Linked DNA regions of Notamacropus eugenii. Each later gene encodes a partner of the first gene's protein in a complex. Links are inferred from orthologs where the notes say so. Each region holds a gene or a part of one and is shown on either strand. Other genes may lie near its edges.

Region 1 (7,497 bases):
TGTAACTTCTTGTTCCTTCTTGTTCTTTCTCCCTGGACCCTCCAGATGCTGCTCAGAATCTCTCCCTCCGATGCCCTTATCATCTCCACCATCTCTGGGAGGTAGCCTACACTCCAAACCTTTCCCTCTTTACTCCTTCTTATCAAAATTGTATTTTGTTCCATTCCCTTTTGGCTGTCAGGTTAGAAAACAATATTATAAACTAATCCCCCCAATGTGTTGATTACTGATATTATGATTATTATATTATGATTGATAACTGTTCAATATGTTACCTCATCAGGAGTGTATCCATTTGTCAAGATACTATTAGGAGACACTCTAATAGTTTTCCAGAGCTAAGCTGTGTCCTGAGCTTGGCATAACAACAATCCTTTGTGCTCACCTTCTGGAACTGATGGTCCCTGAGCTGTGGCAAGCACCAACGAGCCCAGATATGAACTGACTTTTTGTCACTACACAACCTTGCCTTACTGTTGCTGGTATGCCTCACTACTGTTTCTACATTATACTGTTTGACTCTTTATCTAGCCACAAGTATATAAATCTAGATTTAACCACACTGAAGCAGGCCTCTCCATTAGGGGCAGGGCCCTGGCACAGGTGTCTAATCTGCCTTCCTGCTTGCAAGCTGTTTCCCTCACTTTGAAATTGAACTTCTTTTTGATTCCCAACTCTCCTGTCTCTAACCTGCTCTGTTTGGTTCTAACCAGAAACCAGTTTGGTTCAGCTGACACATTTTAATAAGACTTGGAGAAGTGAGGCTGATGACCTTGCATAGCCCTCCCTCAAAACAAAGTCAAGTGCAAGTCATGTCATCATTTCTCTGATAGCACAGTCTTCTTCTGCAGCGAAGAACAAACACAACCCTGGAGATGCAATGCCTTAACCAAAAAGAATGTCTGTAATGACAGAGTTGTAGGGGTAGTGACAGAAAGATTGGGGTTACATTTGGGGACAGGGCAATCTCTCCCATGCTTTTCAAATAATACCAGACAGGTCATCTCTTACATTCTCTTCCTATGGGTAAAATCATTCCTGTCAAGGAATGGGCAGAAAAGTGAACTTTCTCCTCAATTCAATTCAGTAAACATTTATTCAACACCTACCATGTGCAAAGCACTGGAGATACAAAGATAAAAAACTAAAAACAATTTTTGTCCTTAAGGAGCTTTAAGTTTACTGGGGCAATAAAAACAGAAGCTAAGATAGCAAGCTGAGAAGTTTGTCCGTTGTCCTAGAGGGAAAGAAAGGTAGCAGAAGGCAATAGAAAGCATATAGGATTTGGACGTAGGCTCTGGGCTTCAACCCTGGCTTTGTCGATTACCTATGTTATATTATATTATGTTATGTTATATCATATTATACTATATTCTATTCTATTCTATTATGGTGGGCAAATCACTTAACCTCTCCAGGCCTCGATTTCTTCATCTTTACAATTAATTACATGATTACATAACCTCTAGGTTTCTTCCAGTTCTAAAGACATGATACAACAGGGAAAAGCTGAAGTAGGTGAGTTAGAACTGTGATAGTCAAAACTGTTTTAGGTATGCAGCTATCCTTTCCACATTTTGACTTTCTCCATCAAGGTTTCGATATATTGAGGGTTGATAAAAGAAATTAAATGGGAATTTTTTGAGAGTTTTGCAGAAACTGCAGAAATCACCTGAAGGCCAGCAGACAGCACAGAAAAAGTTTAGGAACTCAGAAATGCATAAAGTATATATATAGTATTATATAATATCAACCTATTTTACTTTTTTTAGTAGTTCAATAATTTATTAATCTAAAAAAGTATATAAAAGTATATAGCTCTCATCTACAAGGTACATATATAAATGACATTTAAAATGGAGGCCTTTCATTATTGTTCCTTTTTATCAAAGTCTTTCTAGTGTATTGTACCAGTGATATACTGTAGTTTTTTTTAAAATGAACTTAACATTTTTGTATTTTTTCAAATTGTCTGCTATATATAAAAGAAGCTCACTGAAGGGAAAAAAAGGACAAAAATTCCCAGAAATGCACAGCTTTTACATTTAAAAAAGCTTCTCAAATAGACATACATGCATGTGGGACGATCCTTTCCCCACTCCTCGCCCCTCAGCTCAAACCATCCTAAGAGTTCTGATTTCTGCATGATCTCCAAAATTAGAAATAAAAAAAATAACTTCTTCACTCCGTAGCAAATCTGGGGCTCATACATTTCAGATTAATTCAGTAAAAAACTCACAAGTAAAATAATGCATATTTAAGGGAAATATACAGACTTTCACACAGCAGTACATAATAAGATTTTTAAAAATCTACTGGCATTCATTTATTTTGTACAAAAACGTATAAATATACCACTTTTTCTTACCAACTTTTCTTACCCTAAAAACTTAAAAACAACACCAGATGAAAACTCATATTTTATCTTTTAATACTATACTATTTCAGCCTTCTTCTCTGGTATGAAGGGAGGGTCAAAAAATTTTACACAGATTTTCCAGATCTTGGGGGCACCACTGTGCCCCTAACCCCTTCTATGTGGAATTAATGTATTACATATAATATATATAATATAATAATGTGTAATGTTAATATATAATACGTAATAATACATGTAACTGTATTAAGTTGGCAGCTGTGTGGAAGATGAATGGGAGAAGGGAGTGACTACAAACAGGGAGACCAATTAGAAGGCAACTGCAATAGTGGGGAAATGGAAGAGGATTTTTATAAGAGCCTTACCTAGAATGGTGGCCTGTGTGAACGAAGAGAGGTGACAGAAGGAATGGATCTGAGATCTATAGAGGTAAAATCAAGAAGACTTGGCGACCAAGTAAATATTCAAGGTGAGAGAGAGGAGTCCAGGAAGACTCAGACTGTAAATGTGCCTCACAGGAAAGCTGTCTTTGCTCTCAAAAGAAACAGGAAAATTTGAAGAAGGGATGCTATTGAGGACAAAGATGCGTTGTTTTATTCACATTGAGTTTGAAATACTGATGTCTTATTTTTCTCTCCACATTGCATCCAGAGTGAACTGTTTTGGGAAAATTTAGAAAACAATATAATGTGGAAAAGTCAAATGGTGATTCAAAAGGGGAACAGGTGGATATGCTTGCCTTAGGAAAGAAAAGAAAGAAAAACTACTTCAATAGAATTCTTTTTCTTCCACATCCAATAAAACCCTATACATATTCTTCTTGGCTTGGAGTTTTCTTTGGATTTCAGGCCATTCCCGTAAAGCCCAAGCGCCTACCAAACTTTAAGGGCATGTTTGCTATCTGAAGGTCAGCTGTGTGGATTAACTCATCCCTCAGTAAGATCTGGGTACCAGGTGATAACATTTTCTAGCCACGGCAATTCTTTCTAAAAAATCATGACTGTTGAAGGAATGAAGGATCTGTCTTCCCAGGAATTCCGATCAATCTAGAAATCTTTTTAAAGATCTTTACTGTATTTGTTAAGTGCAAAAGGCCTGGACAGGATATTGTCAGGAAGACAAACTTAACTAGAACTAAAACAGCAGAAGGACTACAAGTCCAGAAATATTAAGGCAGTAAGCAGGGCTCCGGGAGGCTGGACTGCCAGCCCCTCCCTCCTTTCTCTGCTCACTGCCCAGTCTTGGAGCAGGAGTTTAAGTTTCTTGACCTGGGGGAGCAACGAGCAGAAGAGCTGAGCTGAAACTGACCTAGCGGGGAAATTAGCGAGCCTTCTCAGACACCCCCAACCCAGCTCGCTGCTAAAAAAGGGGGCTCGAGATGGGGATGGGATCAGGGGACCAAGGGAACGTCAGCATCCTCACTCTCTCCTGCTTGGGTTCTAGATTCAAGGTCTCGACCCCATCTCTCAAGCAGATCTGGGGGTTGGCGCGGGGGGCGGTGGGGGCAGGCGCTCTTTAGACTGGGGAGGCGGGGGGGTGGGAAAGAGTTCAGTGAGAAGAAGATGCCAGCCTCTAGAGGAGGGACACCATCTGCCGCGAGCTGCAGTTAGAGGAGTGGGAGTGAAGGTGGGGGCGTGAGAGGGGTGGAGGGAAGGTGCCGGGAACGACCAACCCACTCCCTGGGAAGAGACACTGGAGGACAACGCCCCGCCTCCGAGCTTCTGCCCCGGGTGATTCACAGCGGGTGGCACGGGGAGCCGAGTTTTCTCTGCCACTCTGGGGGAGCGCGAAAGGGGGCGGGAGACGAGGGAACGAGAAATGAATTTGACCCTAGCACTGCCATAACCCCCTGGAGTCCCGCTCTTCTCCAAGGGTCCTGGAGTCGCCCTGCTAGGCAATACTGGGCAGGAATGGGGCCAAGCCTCCAAGGGAGGGCTCGAGACTCTCCCGCCCTCCGCCCCTATAGAATTGAGGAGGGTGGGAGCCGTGTTGCTGCTCTTGCAGTTCTTCCTCCAGCCGCCGAGGGGCGCTGGGGAGATGGATCAGGTGACCCGTGCGCGCCTGGGGGTGGGGGGGTGGCGAGAAGCTGCCTCGTTTTGGGCCGGCCGGGAGACGCGGGGCCGCCGCTGCTGCCGCTGCCACTGCCGCCGCCACACCTAGTGGAGGAGCCGGGGAAGACGGCTTGGAGCTGGGGGGGTGGGGTGAAAGGAGAGCCGGGGGTGGGGACGGAAGGACGGGCGGACAGGAAGGTAGGCGGGCAGGCAGCGGGAGCCGGTGAACAGCAGCCGGGGCAAGGGACCCTGAGGCGGTGGGAGCAGCGGCGAGAGCAGCAGCAGCTCCCACAGCAGCAGTAGCGGCCGCGGCGGCGGCGGCTCCCGAGCTCACCGGCCGGCGGGGCTGGGGCGGGCGGGCCATGGGAGCGCTCTGCTGAGGCGGAGGCCGAGGGCGGGCGGGGAAGGGAGGAAGCCGAGAGCGAGCGAACGGGAGGACACGGAGCGAGGGAGGGAGCGCGGAGGCCGCGGGCCGCTGTCTGGGGAGCGGGGTCGGCGGCGGCACCACCATGTCGCGCTCGGTGCTGCAGCCCAGTCAGCAGAAGCTGGCGGAGAAGCTCACCATCCTCAACGACCGCGGCATCGGCATGCTCACCCGCCTCTACAACATCAAGAAGGTACGGACCGCCGAGGCCCCGGGGCTGCTGCGGGCGGCGGCGGCGGAGGCCGGCTCAGAGCGTCGGGGGCAGCCACGGCCGCCGCCTCTGCTCGGGGAGGGCTGGGCCGGGCCGGGCCGGGCTGAGGCCCAGGAAGACTGGGAGGTGGAGGGTGGGGGCGGTACGAGGGAGGGAGGCCTGAAGGACGCTTCTAAGGGGAGAAAACCCATTCCGCTCCCCCCGCCCCAGCCTGGAGTCGGGGTTGGGCCCCGGCGCGGCCTAACTGCGGAGTCCGGGACGCTCACCTCCGCCGCGTTCCCGGCCCCGGCCCTTGAAGCCTGGCCGAGGAAGCCACCAGAAGCCATTTCCCCGCTCGCCCTGGGGAGCCGGGATCGGGCTGCGGGAAGGGGCGTCCCCTCCCCCCCCCCAAGCTGCTACTCTTTCCCAGCGCAGCGGTGGGGGCGGGGTGACCGGGACTGGGGAATGAGCTCGACAGGAAAGGGCTGGAGGGTGGGGATGCTGGGGAAGATAGGGAAACTTGCTTGTCCTGGAACTGCGGCGGCAACCTGAGCAATGGAAGGGGTGGGGGACAGAAAGACCCATGGGGAGCCCACTAAGACTCTCCAGTGTTCAGTCGTTCCTGGCATTTGAGGAGGGGGTGGGAGTGAAGAAGGATGGAAAAGGAAATGGCTCACCGGATGACCCTCACCCATCCTCGCTCTGCCAGTTTCTCCTAAGAAATAGCCTTTTGAGAGGGTGTTAACATCTTACAGAGATTGCATTTTTTTAAAGGTAGGGAGGAGGGAGAAGTGAGGGTGGAACTAATTTTCTCCTAATACTTAGGAGTTGTGACTCACTAGAACAGGAATAACAGCCTTAACCTTGCTTTTCCTGCCACCTTCCTTCCCCTCCAACTTACATTTGGAGAACCCTAGGTTTATGTGTACGTGTTTTAAAGGCCACTGTTAAAAGTTCACTGTGTCTCTGAAACTAAGTCTGCAACTATATTACCCATTATTACTACTAAATATTTTTTGATGTTTTGAATAGCTGTTTGCTACCCATTGCTTTGATGTCTTCAGAAAGTCCTTGAATGGCAAATTGGCCTGTAGTTTATTAAAAACAGTTTTAAAGCTTCAGGTAGCTTTTTGTTTTAATCCACAATATTATGCTTATACATTCCAGGGGAAACAAACCAAAATAATTCCATCTTTTTGGAAACTTAAGTCAAGTTTGCCAGTTTAGATTGCTTGAAGATTAATCTGTGTAGGGATCAGCTATTTCAGTTTCTAATATTTTAATTATATGTATAGTAGTTTTCCAGACTTTTATTAGTTTGCCTCGAGATTATTTGTTAATTTTAAATACTAAGTAAGGTTCATTTTTTCAAGAATTAGTAACGTTAAGATGAACATTTTAACCTGTTTAAATTTTAATTTAAAAAGATGTTTTTCTACAATTCGTTCCATAATGGGGTTGTTTAAAACAGTGTTTTAGTGAGAATTGCTTATTTTGGAACATCCACAAGTATTCTTCAACATGTGTATAAGAGTTGGTTGCCTTGTAAAATTTGATGGGTCAAAGGTTCTTAACTAGGGTTAGAGTTATAGGTGCATCAGTAGATTTCAGGAGGTGTGTGAATTTGAGAAAAAAATTACATCTTTCTGTTGAATTAGTTTACCTTATAATCTTGTCTTAAAACATTCTTGGAAGAGGGCCACAGACTTCTCTACACATAGCTAAAAAGATGCATGTTACAAAAAAAGTTTAACTCCTGTGAATATGAGTAACCAGCAATAAAATCTTTCTTCATGACTTTTGTTAACATTTCTCATAAGCATTTCCTTAACAAAATAGAACTTGAATTAAAAATGCCTTCTTAGAAGTAAATTTATGTAGGTTAGGGATGATGTAATGTTAATGTCCATGGTATTCACTCTCTTGAATTGAATTTTCTGTGAAATCTTACAGGTGTTCATAAGAAATTTGGGTATTAGTTTTAGAAGTCAGAAGAAATAGCAAGTCAAACATTACTAGAAGGTACTAGACATGTGGTATTGTGGTTAAAGGAAATGGTCTTGATGGTTTCTAAAAGAGGAAGTAAGAGTAGCATTAAAAGTGATTTGACTAATAGAATTTCTTGGTGTTCTATAAACATTTCTACATTATAAACTCAGACTTTGTAATGTTTTCTTTGACAAACTAAGTGTTAGTAAACTAAATTATGATGTTTTAAGTGCCTATATTACATTGCAGGTTTTATAACTCATCACTTAGCTAAGAAGTACTATTATATTTACTGTTGAATAATTATCCTTGAAATGATAAAATTCAGAATATATAAGATCTATGTATTTTGATTTATTACATTAGGAAATAGTTACAGTTTTATTTTTGTTTTTATTTTATTGTTTTCTGTACAAAATTGTTGCTTTGGATTGTGCAGTGATTGCATTTTAGTTTGCTGTTATTA
Region 2 (7,890 bases), about 180 Mb from region 1:
CTTGGACACTCCCAGATGCACACCTACCATGGGCCCTTCCGTGGTAGCCCCTATTCTTCCATTTTCCTGTGCCTAGGGGCAGCCTTGGAACACAAACACGAACACAAACACACACACACATGTAATTGGGGTAGGCCTGGATTCCCCACATACACTTCTCTTTGGCTAGCACTGGTGCTGTCTCCCTCACCATTTTATATCTCTATTTGGGGCAGCCCTTGTAGCCCTCACCCCATTTTCATTTCCCTAGGGTATAGCCTTCTTATTCCCCCACCTACATCTTTTATGGACTGCCCCTTATATTGCCCAGGTCCACCTCCCTATGAGATGGTCATCACAGTGCCATAACCTCACCTCCCTTCCCCTATGGGTAATCTCTGGTATATTCTACCAGTCCCATTCTCACCTGTGGGCAGGCCTTGGTACTGTCCCCATCCACCTGACTATGGGACAGGCCTAGTTCCGCCCTCCCCCATGTCTCTGCATGATCCCTGTGGCTTCCTCACTTCCCTATGGGTGGCTAGAGCATTCCCACACCCACATGTCTAGGGACTGGCTCAGGTAGTCTGGGGGGCAGCCCTGATAAGGCCTCGTTTCCCAATGGGGTGGCCTTAGGAACTCCTGCCTCTTTATGGGACAGACCCAGTCTAGATCAGTCTTTGAGGCAGCCATGATAGGAACTCTTCCTTTACCCTTTCCTATGTAACAGCCTTAGTACATTCCTTCTCATTCCCTATGGGATGGCCCTGACATCCAGCCCCACATAGCTATGGGTCAGGCCTTTGTCTGACTGTGGAGAAGACCTAGTACCTTCTAAAACCCACGTCTGTCTTTGGGGCAGCCTGGGCACTCCATTTACATTTAAGGAGGTCCAGGTGTATGTCGGGGGGGGGGCACCTCTTTAATTCCCTAAGGGACAGATCTGGTACCCACCTGTACCTTTCCATAGGGAAGATCTGTTCTACCCTGCTCACTCTCCTACGGGGCAGCCCTGGTACCCACCAGCACAACTCCAAAAGGAGGCTAACTCCACCATGGGGCAAGCAGGGACTCCTTGTTCACTTCCCCATTTGGGGTGGGGAGGCCATGAATCCCTTGCTCATTTCTTCATGGCTCTCATGGAGCAGCCCTGGGACCCCTGCTTACTTCCTCATCCTGCTCTTTCCCTTATGGGACAGCCCTGGGACCCCTGCTCACTCCCTTACAGGACAGCCTGGGACACCTGCTCACTCCCTTATGGACAGCCTGGGACCTCTGCTCATTCCCTTACAGGACAGCCTGGGACCCCTGCTTACTCCCCTACGGGACAGCCTGGGACTCCTGCTTACTCCCTTACGGGACAGCCTGGGACTCCTGCTCACTCCCTTATGGACAACCTGGGATCCCTGCTTACTCCCCTTCGGGACAGCCTGGGACTCCTGCTCACTCCCTTATGGACAGCCTGGGACCTCTGCTCATTCCCTTACAGGACAGCCTGGGACCCCTGCTTACTCCCCTACGGGACAGCCTGGGACACCTGCTCACTCCCTTATGGACAGCCTGGGACCTCTGCTCATTCCCTTACAGGACAGCCTGGGACCCCTGCTTACTCCCCTATGGGACAGCCTGGGACACCTGCTCACTCCCTTATGGACAGCCTGGGACCTCTGCTCATTCCCTTACAGGACAGCCTGGGACCCCTGCTTACTCCCCTACGGGACAGCCTGGGACTCCTGCTTACTCCCCTACGGGACAGCCTGGGACACCTGCTCACTCCCTTACAGGACAGCCTGGGACCCCTGCTCACTCCCCTCCGGGACAGCCTGGGACCCCTGCTCACTCTCCTACGGGACAGCCTGGGACCCCTGCTCACTCCCTTACAGAACAGCCTGGGACCCCCGCTCACTCCCCTACGGGACAGCCTGGGACCCCCCGCTCACTCCCTTACAGGACAGCCTGGGACCCCTGCTCACTCCCTTATGGACAGCCTGGGACCTCTGCTCATTCCCTTACAGGACAGCCTGGGACCCCTGCTTACTCCCCTACGGGACAGCCTGGGACTCCTGCTCACTCCCTTATGGACAACCTGGGATCCCTGCTTACTCCCCTTCGGGACAGCCTGGGACTCCTGCTCACTCCCTTATGGACAGCCTGGGACCTCTGCTCATTCCCTTACAGGACAGCCTGGGACCCCTGCTTACTCCCCTACGGGACAGCCTGGGACTCCTGCTTACTCCCTTACGGGACAGCCTGGGACTCCTGCTCACTCCCTTATGGACAACCTGGGATCCCTGCTTACTCCCCTTCGGGACAGCCTGGGACTCCTGCTCACTCCCTTACAGGACAGCCTGGGACCCCTGCTCACTTCCCTCCGGGACAGCCTGGGACCCCTGCTCACTCTCCTATGGGACAGCCTGGGACCCCTGCTCACTCCCTTACAGAACAGCCTGGGACCCCCGCTCACTCCCCTACGGGACAGCCTGGGACCCCCGCTCACTCCCTTACAGGACAGCCTGGGACCCCTGCTTACTCCCTTATGGACAGCCTGGGACCTCTGCTCATTCCCTTACAGGACAGCCTGGGACCCCCGCTCACTCCCCTACGGGACAGCCTGGGACCCCTGCTCACTCCCTTATGGACAACCTGGGATCCCTGCTCACTCCCCTACGGGACAGCCTGGGACTCCTGCTCACTCCCTTACGGGACAGCCTGGGACCCCCGCTCACTCCCCTACGGGACAGCCTGGGACCCCCGCTCACTCCCCTACGGGACAGCCTGGGACCCCCGCTCACTCCCTTACAGGACAGCCCGGGACTCCTGCTGGCTCCCCGTGGAGCTGGCCCTGCTCTTGCCCCCCACCCCTGCCCAGTGCATGCCCGCTCAGACCCGTCGGACCCTCGGACGCCGGCCCCGGCCCGGCCAGGCCCGGTCCCGCCAGAAGCCGCCCTCTCCCGGGCCAGGAGAACTTGCTGCTCACCTGGCCTCCGAAAGAGCCAACCGCGGCAGGCCCTGACGCCCCCTCTGCCCGCAGCCGCGGTCCGCAGGGTGGTCTAGCCCCCCGGCGGCTGCAGCCACTCTGGCCTGCGGTCCCTCCCTCAGCTCGCTACGCCCCCGGCCGCACTCGCCAGATCGGCGTCCGCCATTACGCGCTCCCCTCCCGGAGACATAGCCCCACCCCGGCACCAGATCTGATTGGTTTACAGCCCCGCCCGCTCGGAGCTTCCAGCTCTTTCATTGGTCTTCACGGAGCGCCTGTCAAACTGATACGCAAACGACGTACTCCGCAGGCACTGCCCCGGGAGCTCCACCCGAAAGACTTCCGCAAATGGAGTAAACAGGACGGAGGAGACCAAGTGAAGTTCAAGGCGGGGTACGAGCAAGTCAACTTCCTAAATGAAAGTACGGAAACGCTGCTTCTGAAGGGCAGATGCTCTTTGAAAACATTTTAGGCGGTGGTTTATTGGCAACGGTTCTAGGAAAACGTGCGCAGGAAGCGAAGGAATGAGCTGGGCCCCCGAACTTCCTTCTGTGTACCCTCCAGGTTTCAGTTGGTTTTGCCCAGTCCCTCCTCCCGGCTTCTGACTCGGGCTAGGTGGGAACTGGAAAGTTGAGTCACGGCCTCGTCCCGGGGTCTGGCTCGAGCACACCCAGGGCGGGGACGGGCTCTGCGGAGGAGGGGTCCCCACGTGGCGGAGAAGTGAGCTGTCTAAGGCACGCCCCTGGGCCCCCGCGCTTTTCAGAATTCCTTCCTCGGAGAACTTGTGACCCAGGTGGACCCCCTGCCCTTCGCCACCACGGCTGGGGACCCCCCGTGTCCGCTCCGCTCGATCCGATGAACTTGTGCTAAGCTTTCTCTTGTTCTGGGCTGGGGGGTGGAAAGGGCTCGTAGACAAAACTACCCGCCCTTCAAGACTTTAAAATCTAATAGATGGTGCTGTACCGGTGCTCGGGAAACTTCAGTGGTCAGGGAGTCTGCAAGCATGTATTAGACGCTGTCAGTGTGCGGGGCATGATGGTATAAACCCTGGAGACGCAAAGACAGACGGAAAGAAAGGAGAACACGCACACACTCGCGGGAAGGAATGGGGTGGGGAGGGAAGGGAGAAGAAGTTGAGATGGAGAAGTTCAGAGTAGCGCACCCCTGGTGAGAAATGAGGATCCCCCTCCCCCCGCAGTCAGCCTGGGCACCCTCCTTCAGTGGAGGTTCAGCGAGGTGCTTTTCACCCTCCAGAGTCCAGTCAGAGAAAGGGGTCCCCAAGGCTGAAGGCAAGCTCCAGGGCTGAAGGGATCTTCTGGAGCATCGTGGAGAAATCCAGGATATGATTCAAACTGCTTTGGCATTTAAAGCCCTTCATCCAAGCTGATTAATCATTACTTCACCCTCGCTAAGGCTACGTTACCTCCTTCTGAGATTACCTCCAATTTATCCTGTTTATATTTTATTTGCATGAAGTCAAAGCATTTATTAAGCACCTACTGTGTGCGGAGCTGGGGACACACAGAAAGGCATCAGATGGTGAACTTCTTGAGGTCAGGGGCAGTTTTCCCCATTTCTTTGTATCACCAGGGCTCAGCACAGTGTCTGGCACATGGTGGGTTTATAAATTCCTGTTGACAGGATTTGAAACTGACCGACTTAATTCCAGGTGTAAGACATTCCACTTCATATCTCCGTAATGTCTGTCTCTTCAGGCTACACTCCTGACTCTCTGGACTTTTCATTTCTTTATTCCCCTTTTACCTACTCCATCACTGTCTTTCCTTCTAGTGATAATAATAACAACTAATATATAGCCCTTAGGATGTGCCAGGCACTGTGCTAAAGCATTTTATTTGATCCTCATAACAACCCTGGGAGGTAGGTGTTGTGATTGTCCCCATTTTACAGATGGGGAAACTGAGGCAAACAGTTTGACTGACTTGCCAAGGGTCCTACAGCTAGCAGGTATCTGAGGCCAGATTTGAACTTAGGTCTTCCTGACTCCAAACTACTTCTGTTGGTATTTCTATTTCTAGCACTGTAGTATATGGTAAGCATTTAATAAATGCGAGACTTGATTTAACTGGTGCCTCAGCCCACTGAGAATGCCTACCAACCACTGCCCCTTTGAGGCTCAGCCCAAATACCGCTTCCTATAAGAAAACTTTCCTGATTTCTCTCCTCAGTAAGGAAGAACACTAATCTCCTTGAGGGAAAGGACTGCTCTATTTTTGACTTTGTATTCCCATCAGTTAGTACAGCGTCTCGCACATAATCGGTTTGTTGCCATTGTCTTGTCGTTTCAGTCAGGTACAACTCTTTGTGACATATCAAGGTGTTCCTTGGCCAAGATACTGGAGCGGTTTGCCATTCTTTCTCCAGCTCATTTTACATATGAACAAACTGAGGCAAACAGGGCTCAGTGACTTTCCGTAGTCAAGTGTCTAAGGCTACACTGGAACTCAGGAAGATGACTTTTCCTGATTCCAAGCCCAGTGCTCTATCCATGGTACCACTTAGCTGCCCTAACATTTGATGTAGGAGGTGTTCAGGGAGATCTAGCACATCCAATGTAAAGGCTGTGGAGCTCTTTTCAGGGTTGTTCATCCACCTTTGGTGTCCATCTTCACCCAACTCTTACCTCTGGATACAAGAAGCCATAGCATGCACAGTGACCACATCTCAGCAAATCATCTCAGCTGACCATCTAAAACCAGGTTGAGGTTAACTGATGGCCTCAAGCCAGTAGTTGGTAAATTAAGGGGATATCTACCCCAGGCCTTTGAAGATTTCACCCAGTAGTATGGGAAGATGAAAACAATTTGTTCCATTGGGCCACTAAGGTAGCTGAAGCAGGTGCTACGGAGCGGAGCGCTTACATCTCAATTGAAGAAACGATTTAATCCACTGCATCCTGGGTCATCATCCATTGTTCTGACTTTTGTCTTGCCACTGGACTTTGATGATCCTGGAAAAGAGTGAGGCTGAGGACTGTGCAACTCTGCCTCACTTAAATCCAATTCAGGTGAAAATCAAGACATCACCCTGTGATGTCACTAGAAAATGAAGGAGGAATGACAAGGGAGAACACTAAACACCCTTTAGTGCTCTGGCCCAGCAAATTGCTTTGTATACATTTATCTGTGCACATGATAGGATGTGTTCTCTCTGTAGAATGGAATCTCCTTGAAGGCAGGGACTTGTTTTTTTGTCATTAGAGCCTCAGAGCCTGAAACTTTTTTTTTTAATCTGACAATCAATTTCATCAGTTTGGGGAGTTCCTAGGGAAAGACTCCCCCTGTCCATGCAAATCAGCAGCTGCTGTGCCACCTGAGGCATCGAGTGACTTCCCCAAGGTGACAGTCACAGTTTCAGTCAATAAAGATTTAGGAAGCACCTACTATGTGCCAGCTACTTTGCACCAGGAATACAGAAAGAGGCAAAAGATAGTCACTCCCCTCAAGGAGCTCATAATCTGACTGGGGTGTCAACATGCAAACAAATACAAACAAAGCTACATACAGGATAAAGAGGAAGCAATTCAGAAAAAAAGAGGCACTAGAATTAAGAGGGCTTGGAGAAGGCTTCCTGTAGTACAGTAGTGTCAAACTCAAATAGAAACTTAGGGACCACTGAACCATAGATCAGATTCCTAGGCTGACTTAGAAAACCACATATTAACATTATCTATGTTCTATTGTATTTTTGGTTACTTTGTTAAATATTTCCCAATTCTATTTTCAGTTCTATTTTTCCCCAGTTACATGATAAAACAATTTTAAACTTTTTTTAAGTTCCAAATTCTCTCCCTTTCTCCTTCTCTCCTTCCCCTTTACCCCCATTACATTTTAATCGGGTTCTCAAGAGCTTCATGGGTCCACTGACCTCTCTGTTAACACCTCTGCGTAGATTTTAGTTGAGACTTAAAGGAAGCCAGGGAACCCAGTAGTCAGAGATGAGGAAGGGGAGAGCATTCCAGAGACAACCAGAGAAATGCCCAGAGCTGAGAGACATGTCTTGGTTAAGGCATAACAAGGGGACCAGTGTCACTGGCCCGAAGAGTATGTGGCTGGGGGAGTAAAGTGTAAGAAGACTGGGAAGGGAGGAGGGGGTTAGGTTAGGAAGGGTTTGGAATGCCAAACAGAGGGTTTCATATTTGATATTTAAGTCAACAATTGAAGTCAAAATTGAAGTTTATTGAGTAGGAGAGTGACATGAGTCAACCTGAGTTTTAGGAAAAATCACTTTAGGGTCTGAGTGGAGGATGGATTGGAAAAGAGAGACTTGAGACAGGCTGACCCACCCATCTGTTCCAACCATCCAGGAATGAGGTGACAACAACCTATCCTAGAGGGGTAGTATCAGAGGAGAGAAGGGAGCAAAGAAGAAATTGATCTGTTTGTCAGAGGAAAGACCTGAACCCAGGTCTTCCTGACTCCCAGGCAAATCTCTATCAACTATACCACCGCTAATAAATATTTGTTGAATTGAATTGAAGACAAGGGTAAGTTTAAAGCAAAGCATTCTGGGAAATTGGGGGTGGGAGGGAAGAGTCCACCCAAGTTGGGTCTTCATAGAAGACAGGGTTTGGACAGATGGAGATTTGGGGAGAGGCGGGTCCATTCTAGGCAAGTAGGAGAGTGTGCAGAGACCCATGATAGTAAGGTGAAAACAGAGACATAGAATGCTCTAGTCAGGCTAGAACTCAGTATATATGAAGGGGCAACAATCTGAGAAAAGGTTAGAACAGGAGTCAGATTGTGTAAGGCCTTGAATGCCAAGGTCAGAAGTTGATACTTTTCTGTCAACAGTGGAAATTTCTAAAAGAGTAGATAAGTGACGTGATTGATTTTTATAGATTGTGATGTATGCCTTTACCCCAGCCTTTCAGAGGACCAGTGGGAAATAGGGTTAGGGGACAGATCAGATGT

The links. The genes of interacting proteins can lie anywhere in the genome.
Region 2: NCKAP1 (region 1) and WASF2 share a complex: the UniProt entries of both Homo sapiens proteins name them as parts of the WAVE2 complex. The link is inferred for Notamacropus eugenii from reciprocal best matches to the Homo sapiens genes NCKAP1 and WASF2.

The regions. Positions count from the first base shown.
Region 1 is NC_092876.1:247,615,656-247,623,152, reverse strand, and holds the start of NCKAP1 (nck-associated protein 1), read left to right. Parts: upstream 1-4,484; 5' UTR 4,485-4,937; coding exon 4,938-5,045; intron 5,046-7,497. UniProt on the Homo sapiens protein: Part of the WAVE complex that regulates lamellipodia formation. The WAVE complex regulates actin filament reorganization via its interaction with the Arp2/3 complex. Actin remodeling activity is regulated by RAC1.
Region 2 is NC_092876.1:68,626,480-68,634,369, forward strand, and holds the start of WASF2 (actin-binding protein WASF2), read right to left. Parts: upstream 3,044-7,890; 5' UTR 2,957-3,043; intron 1-2,956. UniProt on the Homo sapiens protein: Downstream effector molecule involved in the transmission of signals from tyrosine kinase receptors and small GTPases to the actin cytoskeleton. Promotes formation of actin filaments. Part of the WAVE complex that regulates lamellipodia formation.